Linked DNA regions of Rattus norvegicus. The protein of the gene in region 1 purifies or fractionates together with the protein of each later gene. This does not show direct contact. Links are inferred from orthologs where the notes say so. Each region holds a gene or a part of one and is shown in the gene's direction. Other genes may lie near its edges.

What was found.
Region 2: the proteins of Cul7 (region 1) and Fbxw8 purify together in Homo sapiens (affinity purification with western blotting; 12 studies listed by BioGRID and IntAct, with this or other methods). This does not show direct contact. The link is inferred for Rattus norvegicus from reciprocal best matches to the Homo sapiens genes CUL7 and FBXW8.
Region 3: the proteins of Cul7 (region 1) and Skp1 purify together in Homo sapiens (affinity purification with mass spectrometry; 8 studies listed by BioGRID and IntAct, with this or other methods). This does not show direct contact. The link is inferred for Rattus norvegicus from reciprocal best matches to the Homo sapiens genes CUL7 and SKP1.
Region 4: the proteins of Cul7 (region 1) and Glmn purify together in Homo sapiens (affinity purification with mass spectrometry; 4 studies listed by BioGRID and IntAct, counting the BioPlex papers as one, with this or other methods). This does not show direct contact. The link is inferred for Rattus norvegicus from reciprocal best matches to the Homo sapiens genes CUL7 and GLMN.

The regions. Positions count from the first base shown.
Region 1 is NC_086027.1:21,822,629-21,827,918, reverse strand, and holds part of Cul7 (cullin 7), read left to right. Parts: coding exon 1-179; intron 180-766; coding exon 767-902; intron 903-994; coding exon 995-1,191; intron 1,192-1,444; coding exon 1,445-1,688; intron 1,689-2,701; coding exon 2,702-2,939; intron 2,940-3,032; coding exon 3,033-3,138; intron 3,139-4,128; coding exon 4,129-4,356; intron 4,357-4,544; coding exon 4,545-4,635; intron 4,636-4,751; coding exon 4,752-4,923; intron 4,924-5,048; coding exon 5,049-5,154; intron 5,155-5,290. UniProt on the Homo sapiens protein: Core component of the 3M and Cul7-RING(FBXW8) complexes, which mediate the ubiquitination and subsequent proteasomal degradation of target proteins. Core component of the 3M complex, a complex required to regulate microtubule dynamics and genome integrity.
Region 2 is NC_086030.1:44,085,088-44,090,844, forward strand, and holds the start of Fbxw8 (F-box/WD repeat-containing protein 8), read left to right. Parts: upstream 1-2,287; 5' UTR 2,288-2,342; coding exon 2,343-2,654; intron 2,655-5,757. UniProt on the Homo sapiens protein: Substrate-recognition component of the Cul7-RING(FBXW8) ubiquitin ligase complex, which mediates the ubiquitination and subsequent proteasomal degradation of target proteins.
Region 3 is NC_086028.1:36,900,491-36,906,580, forward strand, and holds the start of Skp1 (S-phase kinase-associated protein 1), read left to right. Parts: upstream 1-2,417; 5' UTR 2,418-2,500; intron 2,501-2,538; exon of another isoform or gene 2,539-2,979; coding exon of another isoform or gene 2,980-2,985; intron 2,986-6,090. UniProt on the Homo sapiens protein: Essential component of the SCF (SKP1-CUL1-F-box protein) ubiquitin ligase complex, which mediates the ubiquitination of proteins involved in cell cycle progression, signal transduction and transcription.
Region 4 is NC_086032.1:2,345,016-2,350,305, forward strand, and holds part of Glmn (glomulin), read left to right. Parts: intron 1-583; exon of another isoform or gene 584-607; coding exon 608-716; intron 717-1,959; coding exon 1,960-2,197; intron 2,198-3,659; coding exon 3,660-3,762; intron 3,763-5,290.

The DNA.
Region 1 (5,290 bases):
GGAGGTCAAGGCGGTTTCGCCCGCGCACCGCATTTGCGAGTGTCAACACCTATGCCTTGTATGTGCGGGATACGCTACGGCCCGGGATGCGGGTACGGATGCTGGAGGATTTCGAGGAGATCAGTGCTGGGGACGAAGGCCAGTTCCGACAGAGCAACGACGGCATGCCTCCGGTCCAGGTAAAGGCTGTACAGTAGTGAGACCCTGAAATTCTATTCTGGGTAAGGCATGCATGCCTGGGTGTTCTGTACTAGAGGCTCAGTTAAGATCCAAAGGGCAAAGGCATTAACAGTTGAAAGGACATGGAACCCTTGGGATATGTGATTAAAGGAAGTTCGGACCCAAGAAGAAACTGGTAGATCCGAATTTGGCAATGGCTGTTTGAGGCCAGATGGAAGCATTGAATATCAAAGACAGAGACGATCCAGGCGTGGTAGCCATGTTTGTAGTCTCAGAACTCGGGAGGTAGAGAGAGACAGGAAGATGGGAGTTCAAGGCCAGCCGTGACCACATAGCAATGTTGAGGCCAGTCTGGGACCCCCGTCTGAAAGAGAGTAAAAACAGAACTAGAATAAAGGAAGTAGAGGCCATTGCTGAAGAGAGGGTGGGGCTGTCTGTATATACACTGTCGTCTATGCATTCTATATATTCTATAGCCAGTGTTGCTATTTGGTCACCTTATAGACCATGAGCCCCAGCGTTGGGCCTCAGCTGATTAATAGCAAATCCTCTTCTCCTTCCCTCTTCCCGCGCTCCAATCCTCCAGGTGTTGTGGGATTCGACAGGCCATACCTACTGGGTACACTGGCACATGCTTGAGATCTTGGGCTTTGAGGAAGACATTGAGGATGTGGTTGACATTGATGACCAGGGGGCAATGGTCCATGGAGGACTGGGTGTAGGTGAGCTCGGGGAGGGGTTGGCTCTGAGCCGAGAAGCAGAGGCCTACCTGGGCAGGCAGTGACTTGGCCGTTGGCACGCCCCGTTTTCACAGCCCCGCCATTCCAGCACTGGAAGCCCATAGCTCAGCTCTTTGCCGAGCCTTACGTGGTGCCCGAGGAGGAAGACAGGGAAGAGAGAGAGCACTTGACCCAGGCCGAGTGGTGGGAGCTCTTCTTCTTCATCAAGAAGTTAAACGCAGAGGAACGGCAGCACGTGGTGGAGCTCCTTCAGGAGTTCCTGGAGGGGGAGGTAGGCACTCCTCAGAGGCGCCCCCTACAGGTCTGGACTGGAACATTTGCAAAGCTCGGGAGGGGACGTGGAGGTCAGATAGCATCAGGGGCCCACAGTGGAGGAGTCTGGGAAGTTCAAAGATGCAAGTGTTGGTGGGCTGTCAGCTACCAGAGGTTCAGAATGGTGGATGTGTGTGGAGATTCCCCATTCCCCCAGAGGACCTCTCACCATCTGCTCGTTCAGCTGCTACGGGCTGACTTTCTTCCCACAGCATGTTCTGGACTTTGAGATCCTGCCCGAGCTGACTGTACCTGTTGAGTTGGCTCAGGACCTGATGCTGTCTCTGCCTCAACAACTTGATGACAGCGCTTTGAGGGACCTGTTCAACTGCTATGTGTACCGGAAGTACGGCCCCGAAGTCCTGGTAGGGAAGCGAAACCGCCCGTTTGTGCTAGATGACCAGCTTAACCTATTCCGGATCGAAACGGACTCTGAAGATGAGGCTGGCGCTGAAGGTGAGTGTCCCGCAGACAGCAGCAGAGACACCTGCCTTCGGGAGAGTGTCGTCACAGGGGGGTCTCCTCTAACAGTGTGCTGTCCTGTCTGAAAGAGATACCCTACCCACAGTCCCAGAAACTTTATATGTGCGTCCACGTGAGTGCGTGTGCGTGCGCGCGCGTGCGTACCTGTGTGTCTAGACCCGAAGACAATTACAGATGTCGTTCCTCAGCTGTCATTTATCTTTTATTTAAATTGATTTTATTTTAGCTGAGTGTGGTGGCCCACACAGATATCTGAGTTTGAAGCCAGCCTGCTCTATAGAGCAAATTCCAGGACAGCCAGGGCTACACAGAAACCCTGTCTCAAAAGTACCAAGCCGGGGTTGGGGATTTAGCTCAGTGGTAGAGCGCTTGCCTAGGAAGCGCAAGGCCCTGGGTTCGGTCCCCAGCTCCGAAAAAAAGAACCAAAAAAAAAAAAGTACCAAGCCAAAAAAAAATTTTTATTTTATTTTATTCGTATGGGTATTGTGTGTCTATTACGTCCATGCAGTGCCCACAGAGGCCAGAAGAGGGCGTCGGCTCTCCTGGAGTTGAGGTTCTAATTAGTTGTGAGCTGCCAAGTGGATGCTGGCGATTGAACCTGGAGCCTCTGGAAAAACAAGTGTTCTTAATCTTGACCCATCTCTGTAGACCCATCCGCCACACTTTTTCTTCCTCCTTTCTTTCCTCTATCTCTCTTTCTTTTCTTCTTTTTTTTTTGGGGGGGGGGGGGGGCAAGTTCTCCTGCTGCCCTGGTCCTTGCTGTCTCCACCATATGTATGAACCACAGGCATGAACCACTGTGTTCAGTTATTGTTTCTAGAAGATTTTATTTCTAATTATGTGTCTGTATGTGGGTTCGTGCGTGTGAATGCAGATACCCCAAGTAGGCCAGTGAGACTGTCAGATGGCTGGAGCTGGAGTTGCAGTGGGTCACGAGCTGCCTGACACAGGTACTGCCAATTCTTACCCCACTCTTGTTCCTCCAGCCCAAGATCCCCCATCTCAGAGTGCCAGCCCTGCCCTGCGGCAACTGGTGGAGGGCTTGGGCCCATCTGGGAAGCTCCTTGTGGACCTGGAGCGAGCCCTCAGCTCTGAGGCTCCCCAGGAAAATGAGGTCAAGCCATGCCTGCTGCAGCTGCAGGAGGAGCCCCAGCCCTTCCTCACACTCATGCGGAGTCTGGACACTCCAGCCAGCAACAAGGCCCTGCACCTGACTGCGCTGAGGTGGGAGAGCAGTGAGGGGCAGGGCTGGGCACAGGAAGGCCTCACACCAACCTGATTATCTCTCTACCTTCCCGTTTCTGTCTCTCCCCCTAGAATCTTGATGCAGCTGGTGAACTTCCCTGAGGCACTGCTGCTTCCCTGGCATGAAGCCATGGATGCCTGTATGACCTGCCTTCGGTCCCCCAATACTGACCGAGAGGTAGCCCTGTCCCACTCTGGGGAGATGCTGGGCGGTGGGAGGACCCCAGTGAGGCAGACCCCCGGGTGAGGCTTGGAGGATGCAACAGAGTCTTTGTGTTCTTGCCTTTAAAATGAAAATCTTATGTTTTTTAAATAGGTAATATTCAGAAAAGTTCACAAGTCAAAATGGCACAAGGTAGTCCTTGAGAATTCTGGCTCTTACCTGATTCTCATTGTCTGAGCGTCCTTGCTGGTAACCCACTGTATTAATCTATAGTCTGTCCCCTGCTTCCTTAAGCGTATAGAAATGAGCTCGGCGGGCTTCAGCCAGGCCTTCAGGAGGAAGGGGAGCAGCCTCGCTGCTCTTGTAGAGGACCCAGATTTAGTTCTCAGCACCCACCGGACAGCTCGCAACCATCTGTAACTCGTTCTAGGGAGGAGGTAGACACCTCTTTCTAGTCACATGCACACACGGTGTAATGGCAGGCAAATACTCTCACATAAGATTTAAATAACTTTACGAAATCTTTTCAGAGAGGGAGTGAGGGAGCAGACTTTTCTATAAGAGGTCCTGGGTACAGGAGGCCTCAGAAGGGTCAAATGTATGGTGTTAATGAGTATCTCAAGTCGATGCCTTCAGTTGCCAAGCTAGACCAGAGAGAAGTTCAGGCCTTCTCTTCCCTTCTAGCCCTCATTAAGTGTCTGGGCTGGGGGCCTACACATCTCAACACCAATCCTGCAGCTGGCTCCTGGGAGCCACAGCTGAGTCCAAGAACTGAGGATCCTCTACCTGTTCCCCACATACTTGGTGGCTAAGAGCCCCAGAGGGCAAGCAGGCTCTTCCCATAGGTTTGACCTTGTTTCTCTAACTGCACCTGGTTTTTATATTACTTCCACACACTGCCTTGCTCGGCTCCCAGCACAGAGTGGGCATGAGTCACCACAGCTATCCATGTAGCCGAGGCTTGCCCCTTTCTTCACTGTCCCCTTGATTGACATCCCCGCTCAGGTGCTCCAGGAACTAATCTTTTTCCTACACCGCCTGACCTCCACGAGCCGGGACTATGCGGTGATCCTAAACCAGCTAGGAGCCCGGGACGCCATCTCCAAGGTCCTGGAAAAGCACCGAGGGAAACTGGAGTTGGCTCAGGAGCTGCGGGACATGGTGTTCAAGTGTGAGAAGCATGCTCACCTCTACCGGAAACTCACCACAAATATTCTGGGCGGTTGCATCCAGGTCAGGAGGAAGGGCAGGAGGAAGTGGAGGTTCTGAGCTACCTAAGAACATGAATTCTGAGCAATGGCAGGGTTTGGGTGTTGGCTCGAGTGAGCCTGGAGGTGTGTGTTCCCTTAGTGTTTGACCTTTCCTCTGTGTGTGTTTGCTTGAGCCTTGTGTCTCTCCTTTCTCTGATGTTCTGGCTCCAGATGGTGCTGGGCCAGATTGAAGACCACAGACGAACCCACCGGCCCATCCAAATCCCGTTCTTTGATGTGTTTCTCAGATATCTGTGCCAGGGTTAGTGTCTGTCCCTGATCTGTTTCATTTACCATCACCCATTGTCCCCTTTGTGCTTACCTGGCTGTGACCTTTACCCTTTCCCGCTGTCCGCGTCCCCCACCCCCCCCCCCCAGGCTCCAGTGCGGAAGTGAAGAAAAATAAGTACTGGGAGAAGGTAGAGGTGTCCTCCAACCCACACCGGGCCAGCAGGCTGACGGACCGCAACGCCAAGACCTACTGGGAGTCAAATGGCACTGCCGGCTCCCACTTCATCACCGTGCACATGCGCCCGGGTGTCCTCATCAGGTAATGCGCTCCCACATGCACGCGTGGGTGGCCCTGTATTTGTCCTGCCGGAGTCACCTGGGCTCTTGAATGTGGACATGACACGGGGGTCCCAGTTCCCATTGGTTCTTCCTCCCCATTCCCAGGCAGCTAACTCTACTGGTGGCTGGTGAGGACTCAAGCTACATGCCAGCCTGGGTGGTGGTGTGTGGGGGCGACAGCATCAGCTCTGTTAATACAGAACTCAATGCGGTAGGGACCCCTATGCCCCGGCCCATCCCTGGTAACCTCTCTCTTCCCTTCTGAGTCTAAACTCTCAAGCCCTACATGCAATGAGTCACACATAAACTAGTCTATTATCCTTGCACCTGTGTGATGAGAGGCACTA
Region 2 (5,757 bases), on another chromosome or scaffold:
AGCTTGCCTGGAAGGCCATGGGTGGATGAGCATTAAAATAAACAGGATATAAAATGTAGAGATGACCCACATGTGGCTTTTGTTGATAAAAAGTCGGTGGGGGGTTGGGGAGTAAGCTCAGTGGTAGAGTGCTTGCCTAAGAAGGCCCTGGGTTCGGTCCCCAGCTCTGGAAAAAAAAAAGTCGGTGGAAGCAACAGAAGGAAACATAAAACCTAGATGATGTAAGCTTGTGCCCAGCCAACGAGGAAAAGGAGGAAGAGGCTTGCATTTAGGTTTAAAAACTTTTCGCTCACTCAGCACACCCAGCCTTGATGTCAAACTGGGACACTCTCGCTGCCTTGACTCTCCAGTGCTGTTATTACGAAGCAAGGGTCATTGCGCCTCACAGTTATGATGGGGGAGGGGTGCCACCTTATACTATGTCAACATAAAACCAACTCTCACCTCAAAGGGGAAAGTACATAGTTTATTCTGGAGCCAAACAGGAGTGACTGTGCTGTGGGGGGACCGTCGTCTGATTCCAGGAAAGGAAGAGGGGTCTGGGGAGGCTGGAGGTTAAAGGCCTGGTGACGAGCAGAGGTCAGCTGAGAGGTCAGCCGTGTATTAACCAGCACACGGGTGGTGAGGCAATCAAGCAGCCGCTGCGGGCAGGCACCCAGGCACACACTGATGTCCACAGGTCATACATAGATTGGCATGTGGGCTGCACAGAGATAGGCACCCAGGCCTACAGCCAACCATACATACACATAGTTCTACAGACACAAACAGGCCACCCAGAGACGGGTGCACAGGTGCATACAGGCACAATGGTAGATACACAGGTCTACAGACAGACATGCAGGTCACACAGAAGTACACACACACACACACACACACACACACACAGGGGCAGACAGACAGACAGACAGACAGACAGACACACACACACACACACACACACACACACACACACACAGGCCTTCTAGTGAAGGCTCAGGCCTCTGACCTGAAGGCTGTATTTATAGAGTCCACATAAAAGTGGCAGTCTGACAGAAGTGGCTGTATAACAGATGACATCACCGTTTACTTTTGGGCTCCCAGGACATCTGATGTCAGCCATTTTATGCTGACTCAGAGCACCCCTCACCCCACGTTGAGCACGAGCTATCCTTGCCCACATCAGTACCATGTTGTTGACACATTAAACTGGCCCTTATGTCTTTCTATTCACAACACATATCTGGGAACGTGGACTTAGGTCACCCCAATCCCACACTCCAATGTGGCAGAGGTTTCATGAAAAGAAGCAAGGTGGGGACCCACTGTTGTAGGATCAGGCACTATCTGGTGACATTCTGAACTTTTGGGTTGGTGGAAGACAGGAGTCGACCAAGCTAATATAGCAAAAGGTTTGACACAGAGGTGGGAACAGAATGGTTAATAGGGGGCGCTAATGATAGCCCAAGATGAACCATAATTATATACTCTGGACTAGCAACATTCCAACCTCCCCACAGTGACTGAAATTCTGATCAGTTAAGCAGACTTGCAGAAGGTTCAGTGGGAGGTAGAGGTTCTTTCCAGAACGTTCCTTCACAGATCCTCCCCCCACCCCAAGACCGCCTTTGGATTTGTAGTCCTGGAAATCTCTGCTAATTTCCCATGGCAGGTTTTTCTGTTTATCAGCTAGAACGGCATTTCCTTAGAGAGACCTTCATGACTACCCTTCATCACTAATTGGCTCCTCCCTCTGTCAATCACGCTGTTATCTGACCTTATTTCTTATATTTCTATATAATCTTACCCGCGGATTCAGACAAGCCCATTAAAAAATGTTTACCTCTGTTTTATGTGAATGTAAATTTTTAAGAAGGCAGAGATATTTATTTGTGTGTGGTATGTGTAGATGTGAATGCTTACTTCAGGATGAGCTGGCTCCGCAGAAAAGAGTGCTTGATGTCGGGCCTGACGACTTGAGTTCAATCTCTGAGACCCCACTTGGTGGAAGGCAAGAATCGACTCCTTGAGTCGTTCTCTGACACACACACACACACACACACACACACACACGCACACACACTCTAAATAAAATGCAATAAAAACTACTACATTAAAAATGCTACCTTTGCAATATGTATACAGCAGCCATTTAAAACCAGGTTTGCGGGACGAAGGAAAAATGCTTCCTTGGTACAAAGGTGGCAAAAGCCAGGGATAGCAGAGCGGAGGGGCGTGGCTGCCCGGAACCTAAGAGCCGCGGTTCCGGAAGTCTCCAGCCGACTACGGACACTTCCGGCGGATGGACAGTCCGTCCACAGCTGGCTGCCCCTGGGTGACGCGTAGGCCTGGGAGCGGCAAGCATGGAGGACCATAACCTGGAGGAGTTCCGCCAGCGCTGGCAGGAGGAATTGGCGCAGTCGCAGGCGCTGAGGCGACGGCGGCGGCTCGAGGCTGGGGAGCGGCGGCCCCGGAGACCGGAGGCGGGAGCGCGCGGCGAGCCGGCCTCGGGGTACCTGGGGCTGGCGCAGGGTCTGCTGGAGGGCGCGGGCCGACCCCCGGCGCCCAGGCCCGGCCGGACCGACAGGAAGGATGTGTCCAGCCGTTCGCGCTCACCCCCGGACCGCGACGCCGCGGAGCCCGAGCCGCTGGTGGACCAGCTCATCCGCGACTTGGTGAGTGACAGAGGCGAGATGGCTTTCCCTGTGGCCCACCCTGTGGGGTTAGGGGCGCAGGTACAGCAGGGATCCTGCACACCCAGGTAATCCCTGGAAGCAGTGGTTCTCCTCTGGCAGCTTTGCCTGTAAACATTTTAGGGTGTTGACAGTAGGTGTGCGCGCGGTCTTGGGCTTGCAAGAGGGTAGAAGAATGCTCGCAAACACCAATGTTCAGGACACCCTCTCCCCACCCCGCAAAGAGAATCCACCCATAAAGGACTGCGGATGAGTTTGAGAAATCCTGCCCTAGAAACGTCCTTAACCTGTCAGAAAGGTTGACTCTGGAGAGGGAGGTTAAGAAAAAGCAGAGGACGGAAATTATGCTCACTTTTCTCTGTATTCTTTGATTTTCCTAACGTAACGTGTTACTTAAAGAAAAATAGCAACCATAAATCAGAAGGAACGAAAGGACTATGGCGAAGAAGAATCCTTTGGTCAGCATTTTTAGGAGGCCTTTGGAGGGCATGGGTCTCTTGGAGAATCAGGAAACCCTTTTCCCCAGCCTCATTTACCAAGTCGATAGAATCAAATCAAGAACCCCTAACATGGATCCATGGCTTTCAGGTTAAGAGTTAGGTCAGAACAGAAGGTTTTAATGGTTTCACTCAAACCAGGTTCAAAGAACATTTCTTTTCTTTTTTTTTAAGTTTATTATATTTTATTGTGCCAAAGAACAATTCTACAGTTCAGTAGGGAATACTTTTCCGTGAGTGAAAGTTGTTTAGAGGAATAACAGGATCAAGCTGGAGAGATGGCTCCGTAGTTAAGAGCGCAATATGCTCTTCTGGAGTTGGGTTTCTGGTACCCATGTCAGGTGGCTCACGACTTCCTGAAACTGCGGTTTCAGGATATTTAATGTCTCTGGCTTCCATGGACACTTGCACACATGAGTACAGCCCCCCCCCCCCAACACACACACACAGACACATACTTTTTTAAAAATGGTTAACTTTATGCAATGGAAAGTTTTGTTTAAATGCTTCTACATTGAGTTTTAAGGCCATCTTTCTTTTAAACGAGTGTCTGGTGCTCTGCCTTGATTCTATAGTAGCCATAATATGAGGTAGATAACTATTTCCTTTTACATACGGACCCCAAGGCAATGGTATTTTTATTTAAATTTTATTTTATTTCTTTTTTTCAATTTGCTTAGAATTACCCAACTGAGAAATTCTGGGGATTGAATTTGGATTCCTGTGTTTTAACTTCACCAAGTGAAGCTTGAGTTCCCCGACCCCCATCCCCCTGGCCTTAGTGTAGGTTCCTGAGTCCTCTCAGACCTGCTAAGCAGCAGCCTGGGGAAGTAGCTCATCTGATGACTGAGAACCCGTGGGGGTTTAGATACCGTCAGCTGTGTAGCCTCTGTGCTGGCTAGTTTTTACGTCAACTTGACACAAGCCAGAGTGACTGGAAAGGAGGAGCCTCAACTGAGACGATGCCTCCGTAGGATTGAGCTGTAGGCAAACCTGTAGGGCATTTTCTTAATTAGGGATTGGTGGGAGAGGGGATGGTTCATTGTGGGTAGAAACACCCATGGCCTGGTGGTCCTGGTTTCCATAAGGAAGCAGGCTGAGGAAGCCAGTAAGCAGCACCTCTCCGTGGCCTCTGCAGTAGCTCCTGCCCCAGGTTCCTATCCTGACTTTCTGCAGTGATGGACTATGATGTGGAGATATAAGCCAAGTAAATCCCTTTCGCCCCTCATCTTGTTTAGGGTCATGGTTTTTATTACAGCAATTAAAAACCTTGACTAAGATAGACCCGAAATCCTAATACACAAGACTTTCCAGCCTCACACTCAGGCAGCACTCCAGAATCAGAAATAAAGTGTCAGGGACCTAGGAGGAAGGTCCAGGGCATACCAGACTCTTAAGTTTCATATGGAGTTGGCAAAAACCTTCCCTGTGTCTTGTCCCAGGGGTGAATGATAGTAGGCTCCTCTGCCCAGCCAGAAGCACCACACTAGGAACTGTTTTGGTTTCTTCTGAGCAGCAGCCAGCTCTCCAATTAGTGACATCTGTACAAAAGAAGACGCCATGGGTCATTGTGTGCTCAGGTGACTGGAATTACACAGGTTGAGCCACCTGACATGGGTGTTAGGAATAGAATTTGGGACCCTTGGATGACAGATTCTGCTCTTAACTATCAAGGTGTCACTGTGTACCTTAGACTGGCATTAGATTCTTTCTTTGCCCCCCAACCCCCGTGTGTGTGTGTGTGTGTGTGTGTGTGTGTGTGTGTGTGTATGAGAGAGGAGGGTGGTTGAGATTTCCTGTAGATGTCTGTGCGCTCAGCCTGCATGTGGAGAGCAGAGGACAGCCCCGGATGTTGACCCTCAGGCACCTCCACATTTTATTTGGCTTGGAGCGTTGTCACAAAGCCCAAGCTAGCTGTCCCTTGCACTTCCAGACATTTGTTTCTTCTCTCTTCCCACCTTCTCTGGTATCTCAGGCATATGTCTTCATGCTTGCCTTTTTCCATGTGTCCTGGAGGTCTAAGCAGGGTCCTTACACTTGTAAGGCGAGTGCCTTACTGACTGAGCCTCCTCCCCCCTGGCCTGGCCTTTTTATTTTCGTGTCTCTTCTTCCCGAGGGCTGTGGTCACAGTGCTGGCTGCCCAGTGCTTCACAGACAATATCTTCATCATTCCCAACAACCCTCTCCTTTGGCTGTCTTCTACGTGTCCTGGTAGCTGAACAGGAGGAAGGTAGGTTTGGTTTTGAAGGACAGTGAACTCATCCTGTATCTTCAGCCTAAGAGATGGCAGTGATGTTTATTAAGAACCTCGGCTCCCTGTGGCAGTAAATGTGAGCTCCACAGCACATGGGGTCAGAGGGCAACTGTGTAGGTGTGGGGGTCTTGCCTAGTTCATCAGGAATTTTGTTCCATGTCTTCCGAGACAGCTTTGTGATGATTCGTTTTATAGTGGCAACCAAAATTAGATATTAAACATGGTGGGTAGTGTAGGGTGTTCTTTCCAACTGTTCAGTTTTCTTTACTTAAAGTTTATACATGATCTGAATAAAACCATTCTGTATCCCAGCGTGGTCACTGGCCAAAGTACA
Region 3 (6,090 bases), on another chromosome or scaffold:
GGGCAGAGAACCCTGGGTTTGGTCCCCAGCTCCAAAAAAAAAGAAAAAAAAGGCAGAAAAGCCTGCCCCACGTTAGATTCATTACACTGGAAACTGACCCAGCTGCCTTTCCTTGAGTGGGGCCAATTATAAGTGCATTATTCACTTAAACATTCTTTTTTGATTTAGGTTCTTACTCTATAGCCTCAGCTGATCCAAAATTATGTAGACCAGACTATTCTTGAACTCACTAAGTGCAGAGGATGGTCATGAACTTCTGAGTCTCCCGTTTTTGTCTCCTGAGGTTACAGACTTGTACAGTTTATGGGGGTGTTGGGAACCAAACCCATGGCCTCACACATGCAAGGCAGGCACACCACCAATTGAACCACATCCCCAGAACCAGAAAACAGACTTGCAAAAAAAAGTTGTAGTGCTGTGCCTAACTCACTTCAGGGAAAAAAATTACTATGTAAAACATGCCTATGAACCCATAGGCAAATGGCAGGAAAATATACAAATCACCCAACATTTGCCCCACCTGCTAGCTCCATTTCTTTGAGGCAAACAATTTCTTGTGCATCTTTTGTGAACTAATTTGTACCTTAAATAGTCTGGGCACCGCAAGGATTGAACCCAGGGTCCTGGGCATGCTAAGCTTTGTCCCAGCACTAAAACCTCCATTTTCTCCTCCAAGCATTGGTTAATTCCTGTACCGAGGCTTTCATCCCTCTGGAGAAACATACACCTATCTTGTGACAGGCAGTGTACTGGCTTCTTAGACTAGCTGTATGACCCAGGACTGTTTAAGGAGCCCACCAAGTTTATGCCATGTGAGAGGAAAAGGCTCTCCAAGTGGGCCTTTCCTGGCAGGCCCTAAGTAGGAGCTGCGAAGGGCAGGCAGTGCTGCAGATAAAGAGCCTGAGAACTGTGGGCCTTTCATCTTCTGTCATCAGCTGTGGCACCTGGCAGACATTGGATACCACAGCCATCAGACAAAGACCTGGTCATTCAAGCCATTGCTTGGCCTCTCTGCCCAGACTTGTCCTGGAGAAACTGTAGGCTCTGGTTTCTTTAGGAGGCCCTGTGTGGAAACGTCTTTTGTCTTTGTGGTGCCAGGAATACCATCATGTGCTCATTGGCTAGGTGAGCCTGGCGCCTTGGTGGGGATAGTGATGCTCCCTAGACACAGCGGGGCAGGGCAGGCAAGTGCCCAGTTCCTGGCTGGGCTGAGGCCAGATGGGTCCTTTCAGACCTCTCCCTTTACTTCAAAGTTGTTTCATTCTAGCGACCTTATCACAGCCTTCTGTGAGCTGCCCATACAGCATAGTCTGTTCAGGTTGGGCTGACTGTCCTGGTTCACTACTGGATGGATTCCCAGCGCGGGCCTCACAGGCCTCACACACAGGCAGAGAGCATGATTACCCGAAGAATATACCCTCCATTCCACATCCCTGTTTTCTCTCTCCAGGCTTGGCGCTTCACTCCAACAATGGCTATTTGGGGTGTGAAAGCCTCTTCAAAGTTCAAAGGTAGGAAATAAAGGTTAAGATTATCCAACAAGGTGGTGCCTGCCTCCCAGCGCTGAGCTATTGGAAACACAGATCTGAATTTAAAGCCAGCCTGGTCTAAATAGCGAGTTCCAAACCTGGTTTATCTAGTAAGACCCTGTTTCAAAACAAAACAAAACAAAACAAAAAGAGTATAAGGCGAGTATATGTGGTGAAAAAAAAAAGCCGGTAATCTCACGAGTTTTAGACCAACCTGGTCTACGCAATGAATTTGCAGTCACTCTGTGCCAAACGAGACCCCGTCTTAAAATGCAAAGAAAATAAAAACTAAGCAGGTGCACCAAGTCAGGAGTATTTAGAGACACCTTGACTCAACATCCGTAATTTTTTAAAGCTCAGTTATCAGTGGAGTAAGGTTCAAGTCCTTAATTCCAGGTCGGAAAAAAAAAAAAAAAACCAAACAAACCAAAAACCCTTATTTCCTTGGGTTATTAGGAGAGTAACAGTGGTCAGGCTGAGGTGACTCCTTTAAAGCACACCCACCCACAACCGGTTTTGCGGTTTGTTCTTTCCAGGCTTTTCAGGACTGGGGTCTTTCAAGCAGTTTAAGACAGCCTCTGCCTGAAAGACCCTTCGGGTCGCGATGGTTCCCCAGCCGGTGCCGGCGTCCGCACGGAAGGAGAGCACGGCGTTGTTCAGGACGGCGGAGTAAAGTGGAAGTCCCCCTCCTGCTCAGCCACCCTTCCACCCATCGCCGCTCAGCACCTCTCCAGGAGACCTCTGCGGCGCCCAGAACCTGCCACCCGCCTTCCGCATGCCGTCAGGCACTCTCAACGGCCAGCCCGGCCGGCTGTGTGACGTCACGAACTCGGGGTCCTCGGTGCCCTCTTCCCGCTCCTATAAAAGCTGACGCCGCGCGGCGCTGCTGTAGTGGCCTTGTTCTCGAGACTTCTATTCGGTTGTGAACTCTGTTCGGCAGCCTCAGGCCTGCGGTCTTGAGACCGAGCACGGTGAGTAGCAGCCCGCGAGCCGGACCAGGTCCTGGAGGGAGGGGCTGGGTGGGAGCCCCGGGTTGGCTGTGGCGTGCACGAGGCGGCGAGTCGGCCTGGCGTGTCCTGAGGCGCTGTGCGGCCCGTTGCCGACCCCGGACCGCGGGAGGCGCGAGGCGGCCGAGTCAGGCCTTCTAGGGCCGCCCATCCTTTCGGCGCTCGCTCGCTGCTGTATCCAGCTCTGTGGCAGGCCTGCTCTTTTGCGGGCGACGTCAGTCGGCCCCGAACGCGGCTGCAAGGCCTAGGCTTCGTCCCGGGCCTGCCTTAGCGACAGGCTTGTTGCTCCGCGCTCCAGGGCGGGTTGGCCGCAAGGCTTTGAGTAGGGGTCCCGGGCCTTCCGGGTGGTGGCGGTCGTTGCCACTCGATACTTAGCTCTCTCCCTTCCTCCTGTATCTGGCGACATTTGCTCCTTACTGGTCTTACCTATTTAACCACCGAATATGCAGGTAACAGGTTCCCGATATTTCTTCGCTTTTTTTTTTTTTTTTGTCACGTCCTGCAGTCTCTGAACTTATTGTAATAGACCTTGTCGTCTGAGGTGTGTGACTTTTAGGAGCCCTTGACGCTAAAACCCAAGGTGTTGGGTTTTTAAGGGATAGTGTTAAAACATGCCTCTTGGCTCACTTTTTCATGGAGTCCTCAGGTTTGGAGACTCAGTTTTTCATCAGAATGTTACAGTAGACTGTGTTGTGGCAAAGAACAATGCACTCCCTTCTGCCCTGCAGTCCAGTAACAAGTGGCAGAATTTCGAGTCACTTAAAACAGGTTTGTTTTTAAAGTCTGTTTTAAGTGTACTAGAATTCTCATGCTAGACTTGGATGGTGGTTTAGTTTCCAAGTCCAGGAGCTTAGAGAACTAAAGAAGGGTTTTTTGAAAGCATATCAAATCGAAATCTCATACATTATTACTTAAAAATTTTGCACTTAATTCCACCACAACAAAAGTGAAGTCTAGGATTACAGAGTGCATTGAATTACAGATTAACTGATTGCCTCCCTGGCTCTCTTGCAAGTAACCTGATACCTAAATTTGACTATGACTAAGCATGTCTTTATTGTGAATTATTTCAAGGAAATATGGAATTGTCTTTTAAAATAACTTTATTAGCCACATAGACTTGTTCCTGAGTGATCATTACAGTGCTGGGGACCATAAAGAGAACATAGTGTTTTGCTATTAAAAGCTGGTCTCTTTAACTTTTATTGTTGCCTTATAAGGAGGGTCTGCTGCTCTGGGCTTCTCTGTTCTGCAGCATATTTGTGAGTTGAAAAGTGAACTCTTGAGTCTTTTCAACCATGGATGATTGTGAAACAAGCTTTATCCCCCCCCCCCCCCCAATTATTGTTTACTTGAGGAATGGGGACAAGTGTCTCAGAAAGCTGAATGAATATTTTAGGAGATACGCCGAGTCTTAAGTGTTTGACCCTTAAATAGGTACAATAGTTATTTTAAGTGCTAACCCTATAACACCCAGGTATTCCTCAGAAGCATAAGACCTGCAGAGTTACATGTGAGTTGGGGATTTTGGTGCCCACCTTTTTTTTTTCTTTTTTCTTTTTTCTTTTTTTCGGAGCTGGGGACCGAACCCAGGGCCTTGCACTCGATAGGCAAGCGCTCTACCGCTGAGCTAAATCCCCAACCCCAGGTGCCCACCTTTAATCCCAGCACTGGAGGCAGAGGCAGGTTGATGGCTGAGTTCAAAACCAGTCCTTGCTACAGAGCAAGTTGCAGGACAGCTAGGGCAACACAGAGGAACCCTGTCTCAAAAACAAACTACTAAAAAAAGTTGCTTATGAAATTTTTTTTTTCTTTTTTTTTTTTGGAGCTGGGGACCGAACCCAGGGCCTTGCGGTTGCTAGGCAAGCGCTCTACCACTGAGCTAAATCCCCAACCCCATGAAATTTTAAAGAGGTCTTGAATTACTCTTTTGGAGTAATGAGGGGGAAATCTGAAGATGATAAATTGCTGGTTTAGAGCTTTTAGTATTAATACTGGTTTGCTTTTGTTTGGTTTTGGTTTTTCCTAAAACTCAAGTCATGTTAGGAGCTAGTTGCTTAATTTTTTTAATATATGAAATTATATTTTTCCTAATGACTTATATTTTATCTCAGTTGATGCATTTTTGGATGGGGGGGTTGTTGAGATCAGTTTTTGAGACAGGGGCAAGAAAACTAGGCTAGCCTTAAATTTATTTTGTATGTATCAAGAAGATGGCCATGAACTCCTAATGCTTCTGTTTGCCAAAATGCTGGGATTGTGGAAATACTTATACTCTGTCTCACCTTTTGGGCAGAGGGAGAGGGCAATATTGCAGATTGAACTAGAGCTTTATACATGTTAGGCATTACACTCAGGAGCTGTATCCCCAGCCTCTTTTATATTTCATTTTAAGCAGGCTCTTAATGAGTTCCACCAAGGCTGGCTTGACCTCATTATGTAACCTAGTCAGTCCTTGAAATTATGATCCTCATCTTTCCAAAAACTGGACTTCACAGGACTGGTTCCTCTGTATATCCCTGACAGTTCTGGAACTCACTGTGTACACTGGCCTTGAACTCACAAAGATGCACCTGTACCTTGACTCCCACGTGCTGGAATTAAAGGCATACAGTATTACCATGCTATTTTAAATTTATATTTGTTTGAGACAGATTCTTATGTAACCCAGACTGGACTTGAACTTGGCTGTGTGCCCAATGTCTGAATTCCTGCATCTCAAGTACTGGGTTTATAGTACCTGCCACTATGACTTAAATGTATTTTGTTGTTTTGTTTGCTTTTTTGAGACAAGGTCTTTAGGTGTAGTCCTGGCTGCCCTATTTATTACATGTAAGTACATTGTAGCTGTCTTCAGACACACCAGAAAGAGAGCATCAGATCTCATTACAGATGGTTGTGAGCCACCGTGTGGTGGCTGGGATTTGAACTCAGGACCTCTGGAAGAGCAGTCAGTGCTCTTTTAACCACTCAGCCATCTCTCCAGCTTTGTTTGTTTGTTTTGAGTTTCTCTGTGCAGCTTTTGGCTCCCCTGGGACTTTCTCTGTAGACCAGGCTGGTCTTGAACTCTAGATCCGCCTCTGTCTCCCAAGTGCCCAGATTAAAAGGCATGCTTCGCCACTGCCTGGCTGAAGCAGGTCTTTTTTTTTAATTTGGTAGGTACTTAGCCAGACGATTTCAAACTTGGACATCTGAACAATAGGTAATAAAAAAATTTAAAAGGAGCTGGGTTCACACCTTTACCCTAACCCCAGCACTGGGAGGCAGAGGCAGGCAGATCTCTCTGTGAGTTGAGGCCAGCCTGGTCTACAGAGTGAATTCTAGGACAGTCAGAGATACACAAGGAAACCTTGAAAAACCAAAACAGAAAAAAAAAAAAGACTCTAAATTTAAGCTCCTTACGGGTTTTAGGGATCTTACTGACAGCTGCCTGTATGACCTTTATTTTCTTGTATGTGGTCTTGCACTTGTTTAGAAGTGAGCATATCCTAGTCTACTCTTTGGAGTAGTTTACTTGCTTTTTACTGATAGATTTCATTGTAGGATATTTACTT
Region 4 (5,290 bases), on another chromosome or scaffold:
CGACTCTGGTTCCAGTAAGAAAGCTATAACAGAAGTTAGCACGTGCTCTCGTTACGTAGGTGAGGTCAGTTGTAGAGAACTTTTAATGCTGTGCTGACCCTCCTGAAGCATTAGAGGTAGAGTCAGATACCAGATATGAAAGTTATGAGTCGCAGTCATCAGCAGAAAGATATGCGACTGTAAGGGGCGGGGGCTAGAGGGAAGTACAGGTGGGGTCAACAATAGCAGCTTCTGTGTGAAGATGCCGTAATGAAGCCTGATGTAGAAAACTTTAGCGAGTGCTGTGGTAGACACAAGTGAGTGCCCACATGGGAAAGCCCCTCCAGGTAAGAGAGAGGCAGTGGCTGGGGGCGCAGCTCGGGTGGAAGTGCTGAGAAAGCTAAGCAGACTGAGGGTAAGGCAGTCAGGTGCACCACAGAGACCAGGGCCCTGCATGGAGAGCCCAGTGAGGAAGCCCGAGCTCTGAAGGGTCTTTAACAACCGAGTAGGGCACTTTACATCTAGCAAATATAACTGTATTTTCTTGGTATGTCTTCTTTAAAATAGTAATCATGTGGCTTTAAATACAACTTGTATTAAACAGGTTCAATTGTGAATATTTTTATAGTTGTGTAATCCAAAGGAATTGTTGTTGGGTTTGCTTGAACTCATTGAAGAGCCCTCCGGGAAACAGATATCTCAAATTATTCTTCTTTTACTGCAACCATTACAGACAGGTAATGAGCATTTTGATATCTAAGTATTTCTTAACTTATTTGCACACGCACCCTGATGTTTACCCGTATATGTGAGCAGTCGCCAGTGTGGAGCTGCAGGACGCCTGAAGAATGGCTGTGCAGTGAATGCCTTGCTGTGTGTCATACTGTTTGCATGTATGTAGTCTTTGGCTAGCTTTCTTTTTGTTCCATGTATATGTGCGTGTTTTGTCTGCATATATGCCTGTACACCACTTGCATTCCCAGTGCCTTTGAGGCCAGAAGTGAACACTAGATCCCCTGGAGTTAGAGACAGTTGTAAGCTGCCACATGGGTGCTGGGAACTGAATCTGGGTCCTCCAGAAGAGCCAGCACTCTTAGCCACTGAGCCCTCTCTCCAGCTCCCTAGTAAGCGTCTTGTCTACAGCTGTCTAAGCATAGTTAGTGGCTCAGTGGGACCTGCGCATGCAGTCCAACAGCAGTGTGGCAGGTAGTCCTGTAGTGTGGTTAAGAAGGATGTGAGACCGGGTTCTGCTCAGCCTTTGGATTGGGAGGTTGGAGGTAAAAGGTTCACCAGAGTGAAATGAGGCATGTAGAGAGAGAAGCTTCATGACGCAGTATTGGCCAATAATGGCTCCCAGCAACCAAGATAGACACTTCCCATGAAAGAAGCCATCACTGTTGGCGTGTGTAGCACATATTTATGCTTCGGAATATGATAGGGAGTCTAGACACTTAACACTTTTAAACATTCAAAGTCTTCCAAGAACACAGCAAGCTCTCTAATTCTCTTGTACATTTATACAGTGCTTTGCAGTTTTCCATTTGTATTTTGTGTTTATAATCCAATAAAAGGGAAAGATGTAACCACTTATAAAACTACTGTATTGGTTTTCTTATTGCTGGGCCCAAGCACCTGACAGCTGGCAATTTACAGAACTGTTGATCTGGTTAGGGTCCACAGTCCATCATGGTGGGGGAGGCATGGTGGGAGTAGTGTGGTAAAGAACCTGTCACATTGCAGGCTCTGCCACCTCAGATAACAGGTAACTGCTCACAGGCAAGCACAGGTAACTGCTCACAGGGCAGCACAGGTAACTGCTCACAGGGCAGCACAGGTAACTGCTCATGGGGCGAGCACAGGTAACTGCTCACGGGGCAGCACAGGTAACTGTTCATGGGGCAGCACAGGTAACTGTCACGGGCGAGCACAGGTAACTGCTCACGGGTGAGCACAGTGGTAACCACTTGGTCTCTGTTGCAGTTATTCAGAAACTTCCTAACAACAAGGCATACTCGGCTGGATTAGCATTGTCCACGCTCTGGAGTCAGCTGTCTCTTCTTCCTGTCCCACACTCAGAAGAACAAATACAGGCAGATGACTATGGCCTTTGTCAGTGTTGCAGGGCCTTGATAGAGTTCACGAAACCCTTTGTGGCAGAAGTTGCTAGTGATAAAGAAGACCCAGCAAACACAAAGCTGAAGGATGAACTACTGAAATTGTAAGTGTCTCCAGCGGAGTGAGCCATGGTAGCTGTTACCTTAGGTTTCGTGTTTGTGCATGTGAATTTTGAATTATAGACATCGGGCTGGTACAGCATGCGGGCTGGTACAGCATGCTTGTTTAATGAGACACTGAGAGTGTAAAACCAAACCCTTCACTTAATTTACTTTCCTCTGTCACAGCAAGCAAATACTGAAAGAGCAGCAGGAACTCTATTTAACTCAAGGAATTTATTGTCAGTGGGGAATTGTATTTGGAAACAGTAGACAGTTGAACCACTAGACAGTTGAGCATCCACCCTGACTACAGATTCAGCAAAGTCACCCACCACTGTTCAGTATGGCTGCCAGCCCCTTGGCAGATGGATGGTCCCAACTGAGATGCACTGTCAGTAACAAACAGCCTGGAGACAGATGAGCTGATGTGGTGCTCACCTGTCATTGCACCCTTAGGAGGTGAGGCAGGAGGATTGATTACAAGGTGAAAGCTAGAGCCTAGATTACAGAATAAGTTATCTCAAAAACTAGCACAAAAGCTCTGAGACAAAGAACACCCCATAAAGAGAGAGAAGAGTGGGTTCCTAACCTTTGTACAGTTGTGACCTGTCAGAGTAGTTTAGCTATTTTGGGATAATTGAGGTAAATTATTAATTACTCCTCACATTAGTTTCTCACAACTTTTCTCATGTGACTACTAAGGAATCTTAAATTCTAAATTATATATGGATTTGTGTTAACTTCCTCTTGGACAGTACTGATTTTTTTTTTTTTTTTAATTTGGGAGACTAATGCTATTGTTACTTTTCTATTTTGCTGGGCTAACGCATTTAAAGTTGTTTTTAAAACAAAAAAGTTGTTTTAAAAAAAACTATTTTAAAGAATTAGAAAGCACTCAGTTACAGAATAAAGTTAGAGTCTAAAAGAATACAACTTTATGAAAAACAATTACTATATTGTCGTGACTTTTCCTTGGACTCGTGATGGTGACCTCTTAGACTAGCACTGGTCCTCAGGCAGTCTAGAAATTGAGGTGAACCTGAGCTGTGCAGTCTAGCGAGGCATTCTCATGTTGCCCAGTACTGTCCAGTGAGAAAGGACTCATCGTGCGGTGCGGACTGAGCTATCCCCGCTTGCCTTAGGCCACTGTGGGGCTGCAGCAAACGACCGGGTGTTTGTCATGAAAGTCTATTGGCTGCAGTTCTCGGCCAGGAGTCCCAAGGCTGGAGTGAGCCTCAGGTACCCTGCGCTCATGTCTTCAGAGCAGCCGAATCTCTCCCACCAGCGTGAATCCCACCTTTCCAAGGTCCCACTTGTTAATACTGTCACAGCGACAAATTTCACCTGAGCTGAGGGAATGAACAACTGTGCAGCGCTTAGCTTTCGTGTAAAGCCAGATACTAAGAGCTAGATGTGCTGCGCCTGGACTGTTGACTGCATAGCTACCTGTTTCTTATGCCATAGCTGTTTCAAAAGCTTGAAATGCCCTTTGCTGACAGCACAATTCCTCGAACAGTCTGAAGAAGTTGGAAATGACCCTTTCCGGTGTTTTGCATCTGAAATAATAGTAAGTACAGCCACTCTAATCTACTGTAATACTTGGAATTTTAAATTTATCCTGCTATATTGTGATATATGAGTAGTTGAATTGATAATTTATGAGTAGGGCAGTGTGTAGGTTTTTAGAACACAGATCATCAACAGGATGGAAGTTAAATAGCAATAATGTTATCCAAAGCCTTACAGATGTTTTTATTTATATGCTAATAAATAAGAAAACGTGTACATACATGGAAGGTCTTGAAAGATGTATTTTTCTCCTAATACTTTATTACAGACCCTTGGCATTGATTTAATATTGTTTCTTAGAGAGAGACTGTGTACGAGTGTTGTGTGCATGTGTTGTGTGTATTTGGCCTGAATGTATGCGTCCCACATGCATGAGTCCCTGTGAAAAAGGAGATAGCATCAGATCTTAGTTGGTAGCCAGTATGAGGGTGCTAGGAATTGAACTTGGATCCTCTAGAAGAGCAGCTCGCCCCCATCTTAAGCACTTTAAAGTACAGCATTAAGTGTATTTCTACTCCTGTGCAGTCAGTCACCAGTGCTGCCATCTCAGGGGCATGCCTTTCCACCTGAACTCTACTTGCTAAGTACCCCCACCCTCCTGTCACTGAGGCAGCTGCCACGACGTCCGAAAGCAATTTACTGTTTTCGTGCTGAAATGGTCTCTCTCTTTCTCTTTTATTTTTAGTATTTTGGAGACAAGGTCTCTCTACAAAGTTCTGGCTGTCCTGGAACTCTCTTTGCAGTCCAGGATGGCCTTGAACTCACAGAGATCCACTTACACCTGTCTCCCAAATGGGGGATTTAAGGTGTGCACCATCATGCCCAGTTTCGTTTGTGTTTTAAAATTACTAATTTTATTTTATCACAGTGGGTTTGTATGTACACCACATGTGTGCAGTGGCCAAGGAGGCCAGAAGAGGGTATTGAATCCCTTGGAGCTGAAGTTATAAATAGTTGTGAGCTGCTATATGGGTGCTGGGAATCAAATCTGGGTCTTCTGCAGGAGCAGCAAATGCTCTTAACTGCTAGGTCATCTCCAGTCCCTGAAATGGTCTGTTCTAGCTTGCCCTAAACCCTCCCTCAAGCAATCAGATAGTTAAGCTATCAACAAAAGTCATGTATATATGTATCTTTAATTATGATTTTGAGTGAGGTCATGTCTCAAAAGAAGGAAGGAAGAGAGAGAGAGAGAGAGAGAGAGAGAGAGAGAGAGAGAGAACAAATGAACAAATGAACCCTGCATGAATAGGTAAGGCCCATCCAGGGTAATCTTTTGAATAACTCAAAATCAATTGTTGAAGACCTGCATTGCACCAGCAGACCTCCTCACTGTCTTAGTCAGTGTTCTACTGCTGGGAAGACACTGTGACCATGGCAACTCTTAGGAAAGAAAGCATTTCCTTGGGGCTTCTTACAGTTTCAGAGGTTTGGTTCGTTATCTCCATGGTAGAGGGTGCAGCAGCACACTGGCAGACAGAGTGCTGGAGAAGCAGCTGAGAGTTTCCCTCAGACCCACAGGCAGCAGG